Oryzias latipes: one gene and its partner. The protein of the gene in region 2 purifies or fractionates together with the protein of the main gene of each other region. This does not show direct contact. Links are inferred from orthologs where the notes say so. Each region holds a gene or a part of one and is shown on either strand. Other genes may lie near its edges.

Region 1 (7,894 bases), on a different chromosome or scaffold from region 2:
CTCTGAGTTTTGTAACTCCCTACGAATTTCTGCAGAAATGGGAGGGTGTGTTTGAAGCTTGAGTAGCTCCAGCAGAGCCGTTTTCTGTTCAGAGGCCAGGTCAGCCTTGTAGCGCTGTGCCAGGGTGAGCAGACTCTGATGCCACAGCACAGGAAGAACACGTTTTTCACTACGGAAAGACAGGAAGTGGGCCACCAAGGCATCCAGGACACGGAAAGGCAGGGCGTACTTCTTGTCGAGCAGCAGACGCAGGAAAATGCTGTTGGCGCCGTTATACTCCATCTCTGCCAACTTCAGCATTGCAGCGCTGAAAGGCAAAATCAAACCTCTTATGTAATGTTGGGCTTGCCACAGTAGAAAGTATTACAAAGCTGGTTTTATCAAACAATAACATCTGGACATCAGGGTGCAGAGGCCTCACCTGGAATGCAGCACAGGGATCGAACACTTTGTGAGAATGCTGCCAATGATGATGGCTTCTCTGAGAGTGCATGTCCCAGATTCACACAGAGGAATCAGTATACCTGTTTAACAATAAAAAATAAACCAGGTGAAGACCATAGGGAGTAAATGCTCCACAGGGTAAATTTCCATAAAAATAAAAAATAAACGGGTTCTATATGAATTATTGAATTCGTCTAACATGTTACATTTTGGACAACTGTTAGCTTGTGGGCAGCTTTATAGACATTTGCATGATAGGTTTTATTGTTCATTTCATTCAGACTCTTGTAAAATGCTTAAATGCAGTTTTGTTTAGGACAAACGTTCAGCTTGTATGCAGACGATGCAGTCTTTTACATACATTAGGGCCGGCCAGCTCATTCCTGGTCCTGGAGATCTACCACCCTGCCTGTTTTCCAGCTCTTCCTGCAATCCTTCCTGCTGATCACCTGGATGGAACAGGTGTGTTCATTCAATCATTATGTGGAGATATCTGACTGAGCTAATCAGGACCCAGGAGAGCTTGGAGATCTGGGAAACAGTCAGGGTGGTAGATCCCGAGGACCAGGAACGAGCTGGCCTACATTATGGAAACACTTTAAACGGTTTCTAAAACGGTGACAAATCTTTCTGCTTACCCATCTAAAAACAGCTTGAATGTTGTTTACTAAAGCTAACAACTTGAAAGGTGTTCTTAATATATATACATCACGCAATGTAGAGAAGATTGAAAGTTTTAGGTGTTCACTTAGACCAGGGGGGTCAAACTCATTTACATTGAGGGCCACATCAGCATAGTGGTTGTCCTCAAAGGGCCAGATATAACTTATACATGTAACTTAATGTAAAGAAAAATAAATGTAACTACTCCTTAATGTTAGATTACTCATTTGTTTATTTATTATAACTTTTTAAAGTGACAATTACAGTTGCATAGAAACATATGTTTTCTTCTTACTTTAGCATAAATCCTTTTACATTTGATTCTGTCAGGTTAGGTTATATGGACAGTGTTTAAGTCCTAATGTATAGTTGCCCAATCTGATATTTCAAGTCCGATTCCCCCTAGATATGAATAAATACACACCAATTTTTATTTTAAGAAATTAAAAACCTTTATGCTCTCGCAGGCCACATAGAATTTTGCCCCGCGGGCCTTGAGTTTGACACGTGTGACTTAGACCAAACATTTCGTCAATTACACAAGTAGCATTAATGATGTGGCTAAAAGCCTCCAAAAAGAACCATTTCTAATTCTAAATAATAAACATTTAGCCCATGTGCTATCTTGTGGGGTCCAGATGACCCCCACCCTTACATTGACGTGTTCTCCCTACCATGACAAAGGTGGATAAAGGTGAAAGATTTCATGTAATCCATGGACACCAGTGAAGATCACAAATCATTGAAGAAAAAAGGTTCAGAGCACTGCCTCCAAGAGACAAACTACGTGCCTCCAAGGCACGTTAATGTTGGGAGTGGGGTCATCTGGACCCCACCAGACAGCACAAAGGATAAAAAAAAAAAACTTTTTAGCATAAAATATTATTAGTTTTGTTACCCTTATCAGGTATGAATGTATGATAAAAAAAAATTGCTCCACAACCCTAAAAAATTGTTCAACATAGTCTACAGCAGAAAACTAATAAGTGGAAGCAAATGGATAGAATACCAGTTTAATCTCCATAAGATCCTCTCCCTTTTTGCACCAAGACATTAGAAAAAAGACGTCCAGATACGTCACAAATACGGGCCTTCAATAGTCGCTTATTAAACTTATCTGTGTTTCGTTTGCACTCATTTAATTTCATTTTTCTCTATTGTAAATGTAACTTTATAATGTTTTAGTAGTTTGCCCCCCCACACACGCACCTGTCCAGGTAATGTGTGACTCTGAGGTCAGAGATAGTTTAGCTCAGTAGGAAGTATCTGCTACTGCTAATAAATATAAATACAGTTCTGTTTTATATTATGATTAAAGCTTTAATTATCATTACTCATCTTGAGAGGATAATACTTGTATCAATGGTTATGGAAGCTTAGGTATTAAAGACAAAAGATGATGTTGCTGCACTGGAGAGAAGCACTGCCACCTAGTGGTGACACTTGGAGGGGATGTTATGTTTTAAAGTAGGTCATAGTTTGGTTTGGAACAATGGTCTTCTTAAACTGAAACCCTTTTTAAACATGAACAGCAACAGCATTAAGGGATAGAATATCTTTATATAATAAAGTTGTAGGTATTGAAACTATTTGACTCAGTTTAGTACATATGAATTATTATCCTCCCAGAACCAACAAAGTCATCTGGCCTGCAGACATTTAGTAATCTTTGATCATATTTTTTTTTTTACAATCAAGTATACATACTACAGTCATTTAATCTGTGACACATTCCAATGAAAATAGATTCCATGATTTGCAAAAAGCTGCTAAATCCTTGCATTTATTTCCAAATTTGTTTTTGCTTTGACATGTTTTCTTGGTGCTAGTTTTGTTGATGATGAGGTGTGCTCCTGACCATTTGGCCAGGTTGCCCTTGCAAAAGAGATCTTAATCTCAGTGGGTTATCAGGTTAAATCAATTAAAAGGGAATTAAATCACTGACTTCTTTCATCAATGGCTAAAGCCGCAGGGATTGGAAAACCTGACTGTTCCTCTCAACTCTGCAGATTACTGACTTCTCTTTAAAGAAAAGAAGAGCAAAGATCTTTTTATACTCCAACTCAGGTGAGTCAAAAAGACACTAAAAAAACTGCCAATATAGAACTTTGACAGCTGCTTAACGGTATGTTTTTTAAAATCTTGGGTCTCTGAAGTGATATCAGCTTGTATTTTTTAATATTCCATTTGTCACCAAACTCAAAGATCAAAATTGTTTGCAGACATTAAAAAACCAACGTTCTCCCTCCACATCTGAAGCAGCGGTACCTTTAAACCATGCTCCCGGTTTGAAGAGGGCCTTCTTCAGAGCGCTGTAGAGATGGAAGTTCAGCCGCTTGTACTCTGCAATGTCATCCCTGACCCGCGGCAGCAGCACCAGGTTGTAAAATCGCTGAGCCATTCGTTCCTTGAGATTTGAAGAGAAAATTCTGCGACAGAAACATTTAAAATGCTGTTTATGAATGTTGAACATCTGACGGGTCCATCTGCGGTCCTTGTTTATAAAATCACCTGGTTGCTTGGTACATGGCAGCTGCACTCCAGCTCTCAGGCTCAGTCAAATACAGGACCTGCTCCCAGTTTGCCAGCGCAGGAATGATCTTAAAAGCCTTTGGCAGTTTACCGCTGCGATATTTGGACAGAACCTGAACCAAGAAACAAACAAAGAAATCAGAACTCCTCAAACAATGCAGAAAATAAGATATTGAATATTTATGTGTTCAAGTTTTTCAACGAGATCCCCCCTTGATCAGTTTAAATGACTAAAATGTATGGACATATATGAAACGTCATCAAAAAATACATTTAAGGGGGATCACCTATACTCTAAATCAGTGTTTTTCAACCAGTGTCCGCGGCACACTAGTGTGCCGTGGGAGATGGTCAAGTGTGCCGTGGGAAATTGCCCTCATTAATCATTCACTGATCTAAAAACATTTCCCATCTCCAGGATTTCAGCTCTGTGTTCATCCAAACAGGCCCTGATAAAACACTGAGGAGTTAGGAATATGAACGATCTTAAAATTACTATTTCTTTGTGTTTATTTAATTCTATTAAAGACATTTTGATAAGAATGACGTTACCGCGATTTACCTGCAGCTATGACAGTTTGTGGAAAAGTCCCGTCCCTTTAACTGTCTCCACCAATCATTCTTGAAGGCTTAATCACATGTCATCAGTCTGACCAATCAGAAGTGCTTAAAGTCTTCACTTCCTTGTTCTTAATTCTGCTGATAAAGTCGCTCAGTTCTAACAAAAATACCAGCTAGAGCTCGTCTTTAGCGGTGTAGCTTTCCACAGAGTCCGGTGTCAGACCGTGAAACAAGTGGACAATACAATGAAGCTCAGAGACGCGAGTCTTTCTGCAAGTTTTCGGCACTTTTCACACCACACCTCCCATGATGCATTGGCTTAAAGGGCCAGTGTCCCAGCGCACAATGAGTTGTCCTTGCGAAATTTTTGGGTTGTACAAAAACAATCGATATAATTTAAAAAAGCGCTGTTTTAGGTGAGACCGATGTGACGAAAGAAAAAAATTCATTGGCGGATTTTTAAAGAATTTTCTTGGTGCACAAAAAAGGCGTTTAGCTCCAAAAAACAAGCAAGAATTCAGTCCAGACTGTTACTTCTACTGTAACCCTTGTGCTATCCTAGGCACTCTAACGTAGGGAGTTGGGTCATCTAGACCAGTGTTTTTCAACCAGTGTGCCGCGGCACACTAGTGTGCCGTGGGAGATGGTCAAGTGTGCCGTGGGAAATCACCCTCATTAACTGATATAAAAACATTTCCCATCTCCGGGATTTCAGCTCTCTGTTCATCAAAATAGGCCCTGATAAAACACTGAGTAGTTAGGAATATAAAAGATCGTAAAATACTTTTTCTTTGCGTTTATTTTATTTTATTAAAGACATTTTGATAAGAATGATGGTACCGCGATTCAGCTGCAGCTCCGGCTGTATTTAGGAAAAGTCCCGCCCCTTTACCTGTCTCCACCAATCATTCTTGAAGGCTTAATCACATGTCATCAGTCTGACCAATCAGAAGTGGTTAAAGTCTTCACTTCCTTGTCCCGATTTAGCTCGTAAAATCGCTCAGTTCTAACAAAAATACCAGCTAAATCTCGTCTTTATCGGTGCAGCTTTCCACAGAATCCGGTATCAGACCGTGGAACAAGTGAACAAAACAATGAAGCTCAGAGACGCGATCTCCGCCGGCCGTTTTTTGCACTACATCTCCCATGATGCATTGGGTTGTGAGAGTGAAAGCGCACAAGGAGATCTGTTGTTAAACGTCTTGAAACCAACGAACACACATCAAACTGTTTTTAAATCTTCTAACTTAACTTTTATTGCAACTTTTAGAAAAAAAACAGCTGCAGTTTCCAGCTTTTTCTGCAACAATTATCTCAAAAATGCATGCGAGATTGTGGAGGGGCTGTAGATCAATACATACTGAGTTTCTCCGTTTTTTTTTTTTAATTTTTGGATCCTGGTGTGCCGCGGGATTTTTTTTAAGGTTAAAGTGTGCCGTGGCTCAGAAAAGGTTGAAAAACACTGATATAGACCCACTAGACAGTGCTCTGAACCTTTTTTCTTCAATGATTTGTGATCTTCACTGGTGTCCATGGATTACATGAAATCTTTCCACCTTTATCCACCTTTGTCATGGTAGGGAGAACACGTCAATGGAAGGGGGGGGGGTCATCTAAGATAGCACAAGGGTTAAGTAGTTCTTCTATTCTCCACTCGTCACCTGTATTAAATGCCACCTGGTTTTTTTTTTGTTTTTTCTATTGGTTATCAGTATTAAAAACCACCTGTCAGTATGGAGTTAATTCAGTCTCAATAATCAGAAATTGCACACAACCTGTAACACAAATACACACGCTCTGATTCACAACTGTACTTTTACGCAAACGTGCAATATTAATTTGGAAATCCACACGTTGTGTTTGACAAATGCACACCCTGTGTTTCACAAACACACACGTTGTGTTTCACACATGCACAAAAAGTTTTCTCACAAATGTACATGCTGTGTTTCACAAAAACACAATTTTCAGAAATGCACAATAGATCCTTCACAAACATCATTTTAGGTACACTTGTGATATGAATTCACAGATCATGAAAATGTTAGAATGTGATTCACAAACCCGCTCTCATTTGTGAATCTCCCCACATTTGTGAGAGATTATTCTACGGTGAATATTGAGACTCCCTTCATGCAGCAGGTCAACTAATGTCACCGATGAATCTGTCAATCAAACTCATCAGCAAAGCAGGCGTGCTGGCTTTCAGCCAATCCAATGGCCCCATTGACTTTCTCCAGCTTTTACACTGATGTCGGAACTGAAGGTGCACGGCACACAAGCATGGCGGAAAAGTTTTAAAGTCCGAAGGTGCAAAGTCCTCTAGTTAGTAACAAAATCAAATCATCCATTATCATTATAGTCAGTCTAGTAACTCTGTTCTAACTTTAGAGGTAACGCAACAGGACAGTTGGAGGCTGACTCCACTCTCAGCCCTGATTTGAAGAATGAAAAAAAAAACAAAGGTGTGTGTGGGGGTATTGACCTGTGGGGTTTACTTTGAGGTAATGTAGTCACGCTGCATCTTTAATATGGAGAGTGGTACAAAGTGATGCCAGTTTCTCCACAGAACTTTTTTTGGAAGCTGAGAATTTTTCTCCTCCACCTTCTCATGATCCAGACTGAAGAGTCCAAGGTGTCTGAGTGCTAAAAGGTCGCTAGTATCATAGCTAATAAGGATAAAGTATTAGCAAACTATGCTGAGTGAAACATTCATTGAAATCTCATCACCAGGGGACAGTTCTCTGGATTCAATTCCAACTGCATTCAACAACTGTTGCCTTGCTTCCAAATCCACTGGAAATGTTGAATGTTTGCGTAAAAATACAGTTGTGAATCAGAGCGTGTGTATTTGTGATACAGGTTGTGTGCAATTTCTGATTATTGAGACTGAAATAACTCCATATGTCTGCACCCTTAAAGAGTTAAACTGCAACCTCTCCAATATGAACAAAGAGCTGTCAAAGGACACCAGGGACAACATGAACAGAGCGATGTATGGTGAGATCAGTGAGAGCATTGAGGATGAAACACATCTGTACCATCCACCAAGAACACATCGTCCAGGAAAACAAAGGACCGGCTCTGATGAAAACACTTTGTGGTTCTGGAGTGTTCTAGTCTGTCTCTGGACTTCAAACCAATACAGAATCTTGGATGGAGTTGCTGTGTCCGGATTCCCTCACTACTCCGTAACCCCTGAAATACTGAACTATCATGTGTTCTTAATTTAATGCAATTCAGACACGTACTCACTACATTTCACATCATCAATTTTCCAAAATAATAACCTAAAAATGTTGAGCAGTTGAGCAGAAGACTATTTATTTATCCGGTACTAGGTTAGTACTGGATCAAAGATCGACCAGAGACCTTTGCTTTTTGGCTCAGCTCTCTCTCCGATCTTCCCTCACTCGTGAACACCTGGGGCAGGAGTACTCTACCCACCCAGAGATGGCAAACTACCTTTCTCCGGTCAAGAATCATGACCTCAGATTGCTTACCCTCATCCCAGTCGCTTCACACTCGGCTCCAAACCGCCCCAATGCACGCCAGAGGTCCCGGCTGGATGAAGCCAACAGGACAAAATCATCTTCAAAGAGCAGAGAGGAAACGCTGTGGTCCCCAAACCAGACCCCCTCCGGCCTCTGGCTGCGCCTAGAAATTCTATCCATAAAAACTATGAACAGAACCG
Region 2 (8,350 bases):
AGCTACAGTACTGAACATCCAGATCATGTCAGGAGACAAGAAAAGAATGCATTTTTTTGAAACGTTTCTTGCTTTTCTAATTAGCCGATACCTGAGCTGCTACAAAGCGTTTCAGTACAGCGGCTCCTTGTTTACTTGAAGTAGCTGAACTGTACAAGGTGTATAATCTCAGGGTTTGTTTATTATCCTCCAAATGCAACACATGAATTTTAACCACACAGCTGCTTTGAGTTTGTCTGGACTTTTGATAACTCCACAACAGTAATACAAAACAATATGTTTAAGGTATGTGATATGATTGTAAGTTCACCCTAGAAGGGATCGTCATAAAGAATATACATAAGAACAAAATCTATGAAAAAATGTGTGTATTTTAATACCAAAAATACTAAAAAATAAAATGAAACACTACAGAATTCAGGTGCAATTTAAATTAAGTTTAAAATTGCAAATAAAATGTTCTCAATTACATAATTTTACTTGCGTATTTTCAAGACCATAAAAGATCACTGAGGAGAATGCACTGAGTTCATGTGCCTCAGATGATCAGTTGCAAACAGATGCAAAGCTGACGCCAGAGTCACAAGACTTCTTTCCCAGCCTGGGAGAAACATCCCCTAGTTCAAGCAGACATCTTTTGTCTCACAACAACACAGAACAGCCCACTATTCTGCACAGATGCAGCCACAGGCCTGAAATAAAAACCTCATTAGCATGAAGGACTGTGGCTCTTTATTGCTGTTGTTCTTTAGAACACTGTTGCCCCTTAGCGAGCTTTGCTGTCATATTTCCCGATGGCCTTTTCAATCGTGGACACAATAGGAGAAAAGTAAGGATAACCAATACCTTCATGAAACACCCCAGCAATCCAGCTAACACAAACACGTGCAGAAGAATGCTGTTGGACAAGACAACAAAGCTGGAGGGCTGGACTTCCCCATGTATGGCTTCACTACACTGCATTTCCCAGCATTTCCTGTTCAAGCTGCACCAAGCATGGGCTCTGATGAGCCATTTTAACCAGAGATTATCTTTAACTAAGTAGCAATTTGATCTCCAACTTCCTTTTAAAACTTCAAAACTAAGGCATGACTATACATTCCAATTTTATCACAGTAAGTTGTAACTACTTTAAGGAAATACTTGACGTTTCAAAACAAAGAACTGATATTTTCCTTGAGAAAAACAACAGAAAGATTGCATGATCTGGTCTGACCAATTGAAAACATTTCCACCTGGCGTACACAAATTCAGGATTTCACAGCAACTACGTATAAAAAAGTTAATGTTAATATCAGCAAATAGTGATTTTGTGATTTATTATCTTAAAATCATTGAAATAGTTGTTTTCGTGTTTAGGAGGCAGCCGAGCCTTACCTTTCTCTCTCTCCCTAACCTAAAGGACGTGGTTACCTGAGGTGTTTCTCCTCAATTTGATTGCAACATAGTTATACTAACTTATATTTTAGTTGTATTCAATGATTAAGAATGTAAAACCCTTGATTTTTTTAAAGATTAGGTTAAAAAACTAAAATATCCCCCCAAATAAGAGGTTTTGAGACATTCAAAACATGAGCATATAAACAAGAATCGTTGTTTTTCATATTAGCCACACGAGAAAAACTTAACTCGTAGCCAAGTTACGGTAAAGTAGTAGGGGAAATACTCGCCGTTTTAAATAAAACAGCAACTACTGGACATATGTTTTGACTTTCGCGAAATTAAACATTTCGTCTAAACGAACAGGCATTTCTCTGAAATGTAAAAACAAATCTGTGTAATGTTTGCTAAGTTAGCTTAGCATGTTAGCAAAAAAACTCGCCTTGGGCTGACAGGCCAGCTTCAGGTTTGAGTGTGTCGGATATTTCAAAACAAATTTAAAACTATAAGACGTAATCTCTCTTTCACGGCAAACGACGTAACGTTGCGCGCCAAGTCGTATTAGGTACCTAATGTCGCTGTCATATGTTTGCTTTACTCCGACAAGACAGCTCCAAATGTTGTAATCCCCACCCTTAAAGTAACTGGGGTGTCTCAGTCGTCAGGTCCCACTCCCAGGCTGGTCCAAAGATGGCTGCCAACGGTTCCACTACGGCCTTGCTTGACGAAAATGGGTTGGAAAAACGTGATGAAACTTCAAATCTCTCCGACACACCCATAAACAAGCCCCGAAGACATCCACGAATCCTACTGACAAATTGGGTCTTTTAGGCTAGCACGCTGTTAACTGAGCTGTTAAGTTATGTGAGAGTAGCTATCTAAACTCAACTGTCTGTCCTCTTTCGACATGTTGCAAACAACAGTTCGGCCCCGCCTGTTGCAGGAAACTGTCCCAACAAAATCCAGAGATTTAAGGAGGCAGCAGCCTGCGAGAAGAAGGCAGAGTTGGACGTCCAACAGCCCCGCCTTTCAAATCCAAGCCCCGCCCACTGCCAGATTTGAAGTTTTGGTTATTGTTCCTGTTTGAGGAAGTGTTTTTCCCTCCCTATCATCCATGGTTAGCGTGCTTTAGAGATGTCCAGCTCCACAAAGGTCTTTTCTGAGAACTGTCTATCAGAACCGGCTTTAACTTACAATAAGCAACAACAAACAGGGGCACCTCCAGAAAAAAAACAAAAAACAATCAGGGGTGCCCAGATAAGTATCAAGGAAAACCAAGTAGTACTTCTGTGGTAACCCAAATTTAGTTATCCAACTCTGACTTTGTTTTTTAAAAATTTTCTTTCAGAAATGTAACACAGTTATCAGACATTTTAGAAAAGCTTTAAGTTTCTTTTAGGCAAAGATATTTCAAACTTGTTTTTTTTTTATACAACCTGTTTATTTGAGCTTTTTCAACACCTTAGTAAGAGAACAGGACTAATAAATGAGACATTCAGTTTTTTAATCATCCCCATGGCGATGCCACTGGATGGACCATAAAGGCTGTACTGGAAGACACACAGGAACTACATTTTTAAAAATGTTTCTTTGTATGTGATATTTGATCACTTTTTTACTAAATGTATTTTTTTTATCCCTGCCTTTAATGCGTTTCCTAAGTTATTTGTGCCAGGCTGAAACATTTTTCTCAAACGTCAATATTGATGGCAAACTGAAAAGCTATACTCATTAAGTATTTAAATTTCCACTTTGGAAATGCTTTTTGCTATATTTTCTTAAACTTTAAATAAACCTATTCTCTTTTGCTGTAGAGTGTCCTGGGATTACACCTTTTGTGAAATGGAAAGAAACTGTGTCAAAAAGCTTAATTATTACATAAATGTCGACTGAAAATTTAGTTTTCGTCTCTACTAAAAGTGTGTTTTTTATTGCCTAAAGTTTTCCCTTAGGCATATTTGTTTTTATAGTGGTCAAAGATAAGATTTTAATTCTTTAATTTTCTCCAAAGATTTATTGAAGCTATAGCAGGCTTGTCAAATGACATCCTTTAAAATAGAATAGAAATTGGTTGTCAAGTTATGCTTGAAAACATTTTGTATTCGGTAACATCTTTCTCGAAAAATACATTTTATCTCAAGGGACTTCCTGGTAAAATAAAGGTTAAATAAAAAGTCTGCACATAATAGTAAAAAAAAAAACAACATCTGTTTTTTGCTCCCTTTTAAAGAAAAGCATCTGATCATATACCAAATTCTTCACACAGTGCAAATCTGTTACAAATACATTGTAGGGTGTTACATTTTTGTTGAAGACAATTTACAATGCTGTGCGATTTAAATATTATTACATTATAACGAGAGAGAAAATCCAAATATAATGTTCCAAATTTTTTGACTTGCAAGACTTTTATTCTGAAGAAGACAACGTGGTCCTAGAAACGCCTCTTTCATGACGTCAGAGGATATGCGGAAGTTCATTTCGCCGACATTCCCACATGGTGAAAATGGCTGCTGACGGGGAAAAACAGCAGGGCCACAGAGCTGGCATATACAAACAGAAAAATAAAGTACACAAACATGGTAAACATCGGACGAAAGGTGACATTGAAAGAGAAAACAAAGGTAAGTGATGCTCAGTCACGACGCGTTTTTCTTCTTGTTGGAGTATCTTGGGGCTGCTGTTCCTATGCGCACGTGACGACGTGCCTTTTTTTTAGTAGGTTTTTTGAATAAAATCCTGTCACGCAGTGTACGTGGAAAGTATATTATTAGAAATGAACTGGTTAAAGCTCTCTGAAAAATTAACACGAGTCCATAACAGACGAACTATAAACGACCTTTTTGACGACTTCTTATTTGATATATTGACATTTGATTTATATTTATACATATTATTGCAGACTGAGATGGATCTTCGGGATCTGGTATTTCATATTGAAAAGCTAGTTTTCACGCCTTTAGTGTTTTATCGGTGCATTATTATCATCCATAACAAAGTAATAAAGAGAGATGAACCTTGTAAAAACACAGCCACTTTGTTAGGGTTTCTTTATCCCCATTTAATAGGTGATTACTCTTCATTTTTAGCTAAACAAGACTACTTCCAAATGTGGATTCTTAAAACAGTTTATATTAGAAATCTTGTTTTTTGTACCCTCTGTAGTCAACTCAGATCACGTAGTTGCACTTTTTTATTATTTGAATTCTTGGATTCATAAAGATATCTTCCTTTTAAACTGTAAAGGCTTTATTACTTAATTTAGTTACTTTTATGAAAGACGATAATTAAATTATGTATTTTTGCTTAACATATGATGTGATTTTATGTGATTTTAGAGGTTATTTTTATCCTTAAAGATAGTCAATCTTTGTTTTGTAGTTTGCAGTTTTATGCTTCAGTATTACTGTTTATTAATCACATTTTTACCCCCTCCCCCCATTCTTTCATAACAGCTCCTATTTCTATCTCTGAAAGAACAAACGAACCACCGGCAAAGACGATTCTGTATTTACCTTTAGGGAACCACTTGCAGCACACCACCTTTTGCATATTTGTGTTTAACTGTCCCACAGGGAGAGTTTCAGTGACAGCCCTCACAAAAAAACAACGGAAGGAGCTGAAGAAGATGGACAGAAGGCACAAGGCCAACCAGCTACGCAGAAATAAGAAGGACATGGTATTTCATGTACTGTTTGATAAAACAATACCTCACATTCTTGTTTGATGCTACAGACTTTCTGTTTCTTGCTGTTGTAGATCCTGACAGAAAAGCGGCGTCTGGGCAGCAGGGACGGACCTCCTCATTTGGTTGTGGTGGTATCCCTACATGCAGGAGCGGATGCTGGTGCTGTAACTAAGCTGCTAAGAGAAGAAGGCTCTGGAGGAATTGTGCAGCAGGAGGGGTGCATCAGTGGCGTTAGCGACAGCTTTGGGCTCATTCTGCCTCGTTTCAAACTGAGGTTCACCTTTCTTAGTCAGAGCACAGGTATGTTTTGATTGATGTAAAAAAGAAACTTTGCTTTGATACATCGTCATAGTTAACTTGAATTAAAAAAAAACCTTTAGAAGCAAAGAGAAAAAGCTCATTTAGAAAACCACACAGCTGGGAAACATGCTACTTAATGTATTTTCTGGTGTATAAGTCGCACTGCAGTATAAGTCGCAGGACCCAAAAAATACATTATAAAGAAGAAAAACTCATACAGATTGCTCCGGAGTATAAGTTGCACTTTTGGGAGAAAAGTCCGACGTTACTGACCAAATTGCCAAGCCCGGTATAATTTTTTATTCACACCGAACGCAATGCACACTCAAATTCGCGTCCTCTCCCTCTTTTTTGACATGCGTTAAATTTGTAACCTCTACCTCTTTTGACACACATCAAATTTGATGCTCAACGCTTGTCCGAAAATGTGTTTGTAAACTAGATGCTTCTGTCGAATGAGGGAGAAGCATCCGTCATATTTTTAGCCTCACTGCTACACAAACTGTTTACTGTATATTTTGTTTATAATCAAACAAGCAATCAAACTTTATTTATAAAGCACTTTTCATATAAAATGCATGGAAGACGTTGAGAGATCAGGTTTGTTCATTTTGAAAAGTTCTACAAAAGCGTCTGTAATCATATCTCCATGCCTGGGCTCATGAAATCATTAAGTCTTTTTTTTTCTTACGGCAATCATTACCTTCAATACTGCATGAGCTGCATGTGATTGACGGCGCCACCAGCTGTACTTCCGTGTCTTTGTGACCCAGTTTGATTACTTACTGTCCAGTAATAGTCCAAGAAAGGGGGGAAAAAAAGTATTGTCTCGATTCAAATAAGAAAAATATAAAGTATAGGAGGAAAAAGATCAGATTCCATGTTTGTTTTGGACAGCAATTCTTCTTCTGCGTTGCTATCAGTAGCAAATACTGATCCACACACCTGCAAGGATCGCTATATATAGGTAGCTGAAACTGGAGTTCCACGTCAGCAGGTACCAATTAAAAAGCTATTTATAGCTCTCTGTGGAATTTGTAGTTCAAAAAGGAAGCTTAGTTAATGTGTCATGAATAGCATTAGAGCAGTTAAAGCAGGTTGTAATAAAAGCACAAACATCTTTATTGAGATCCTTTTTGAACAAGTAGGACTTGATTTTATGTAAATGTCTGTTTGGCAGACATTTTGGCAGGCAACATTTCTGTCCCACTAGTTTTATAACTAAAAAAATGATGTTAGATTTGAGATTTGTATTTACGTTGCAATGATTTTCTGTCCTCATGACTTTGTGATCATTTTCTGTTTCCGCGTTCTGAAACCTCCTGGTCTGGTTGAACAGCTGACATGCACTCCCTGCTGGACGTGGCAAAGATTGCAGACACCCTGGTGTTTGTCATGGATTCTGCTGAAGGTTGGGACAGCTACGGAGAATATTGTCTGTCATGCCTCTTCGCCCAAGGCCTCCCCAGCCATGGTTAGTTTTCCTGTGGTGGACAAAATTGACACTTTTTTGAGGGTTTTATTATCAACTTATTATTTTCTTGAATATTTTGTAACTTCTTGTCTCTCAACTCCCTCCCAGCACTAGTGTGCCAGGGTATGTCAGACGTTCCTGTGAAGAAGAGGGTCGAATCCAGAAGAGCTTTGTCAAAAATAGCAGAGGTCCGCTTTCCAGATGCCCGTCTTTTCCCCCTGGACTCTGAGCAGGATGCAACTCTGCTTCTCAGACACCTGGGATCTCAGCGACAAAGAAAGCTGGGTTTTCGTTCCAGGCGTTCCCATCTTATAGCACAGAACGTTACTTTTTCACCCAACGGCCCTGTAGAGGGAACCGACAGCGGGCGCACCGGCCTTGGCACGCTCTGTGTTTCTGGGTATGTTCGAGGCCATCTTCTTGGGGTACACCGATTGGTGCACATCAGCGGTCACGGAGACTTCCAGCTCAGTCAGATTGATGCTCCATCTGACCCACTTCCACTCAACTTAACAACACCCAGAACGGCAAAACCTGGAAAAATCCAAGAGGTGGAGATGCAGGTAGGTGTTCATTGACTTTTAAATACTTTAAAAAAGGATGTGACAGGTTGAGTCCAGTTTACAAACCAGATAAATTTGCATATTTTCTTACACGACAGAGAGTTAAATCAGAAAGGTTTCCTGCTTGGATCTCAATGTTTTTAAGGATCTCTTAAATTAGCTAACTTGACTTTGACCTTCATTCCTTCATTCAAATCTGTAAGGATGCATCAATAAAACATGTATTACTGTAATAGTGTGCAGAATCAATGCATGTTCTTTCTACTTAGAGTTAAAACACAGACTTTATCTGTCGTGAAAGTGCATTTTATGCTATTTAGGATGTTTAAAAAAAACAAAAAACAACTACAAGTTTTGTTTGACCCCACAGGAAAGAGATGTTACCGAAGCTCCTGTGCGAGTTCTCATGAAAGCTGACCCCTCCCTCAGAGAGAGTCTGCAGTCAGAGGCCGAGGTGGACCCCATGGACGGCGAGCAAACATGGCCGACAGAAGCAGAGCTTTTGGAGGCTGAAGGTGCAGAAACACAGCTTGTACTGCCTGCTTTATCAGACAGATAACTGATCAAAGAGTCTGAGCGCGGAGGATTGAAAGTTCTCTTTATTGTTCAGAGGCCAGAAAAAGCAAAACCATGAAGGTCCCCAAAGGAACATCAGACTACCAAGCAACATGGATCGTTGATGACAATGAGGAGGAAGTGGATGATTTAGATGGAGAAAGCAGTGATGATGATGATGACAGCATGATGGATGAACCTATGGATAAAGACGATGAAGAGAATGACTCCCAGGTATACATTTAAGGATTTATTACAATCTGTAAGTGGTCCAGTTGCATTTTGTTGTTATAGCAACAGCATGGGTGATGCAAGAGGGACTCCAAACATGTGAAGGATGAGCATATTGAGCAGAAGGTGTGGAGTGTCTGTGTTTCTGGGGCTGAAACC

Evidence for each region. The genes of interacting proteins can lie anywhere in the genome.
Region 1: the proteins of tsr1 (region 2) and bysl purify together in Homo sapiens (affinity purification with mass spectrometry; 3 studies listed by BioGRID and IntAct, counting the BioPlex papers as one, with this or other methods). This does not show direct contact. The link is inferred for Oryzias latipes from reciprocal best matches to the Homo sapiens genes TSR1 and BYSL.

What each region holds. Positions count from the first base shown.
Region 1 is NC_019863.2:2,266,896-2,274,789, forward strand, and holds part of bysl (bystin), read right to left. Parts: intron 3,753-7,894; coding exon 3,619-3,752; intron 3,537-3,618; coding exon 3,376-3,536; intron 525-3,375; coding exon 422-524; intron 308-421; coding exon 1-307. UniProt on the Homo sapiens protein: Required for processing of 20S pre-rRNA precursor and biogenesis of 40S ribosomal subunits. May be required for trophinin-dependent regulation of cell adhesion during implantation of human embryos.
Region 2 is NC_019871.2:11,043,619-11,051,968, reverse strand, and holds the start of tsr1 (pre-rRNA-processing protein TSR1 homolog), read left to right. Parts: upstream 1-3,851; 5' UTR 3,852-3,877; coding exon 3,878-4,004; intron 4,005-4,955; coding exon 4,956-5,059; intron 5,060-5,139; coding exon 5,140-5,368; intron 5,369-6,707; coding exon 6,708-6,842; intron 6,843-6,950; coding exon 6,951-7,405; intron 7,406-7,775; coding exon 7,776-7,920; intron 7,921-8,015; coding exon 8,016-8,194; intron 8,195-8,350. UniProt on the Homo sapiens protein: Required during maturation of the 40S ribosomal subunit in the nucleolus.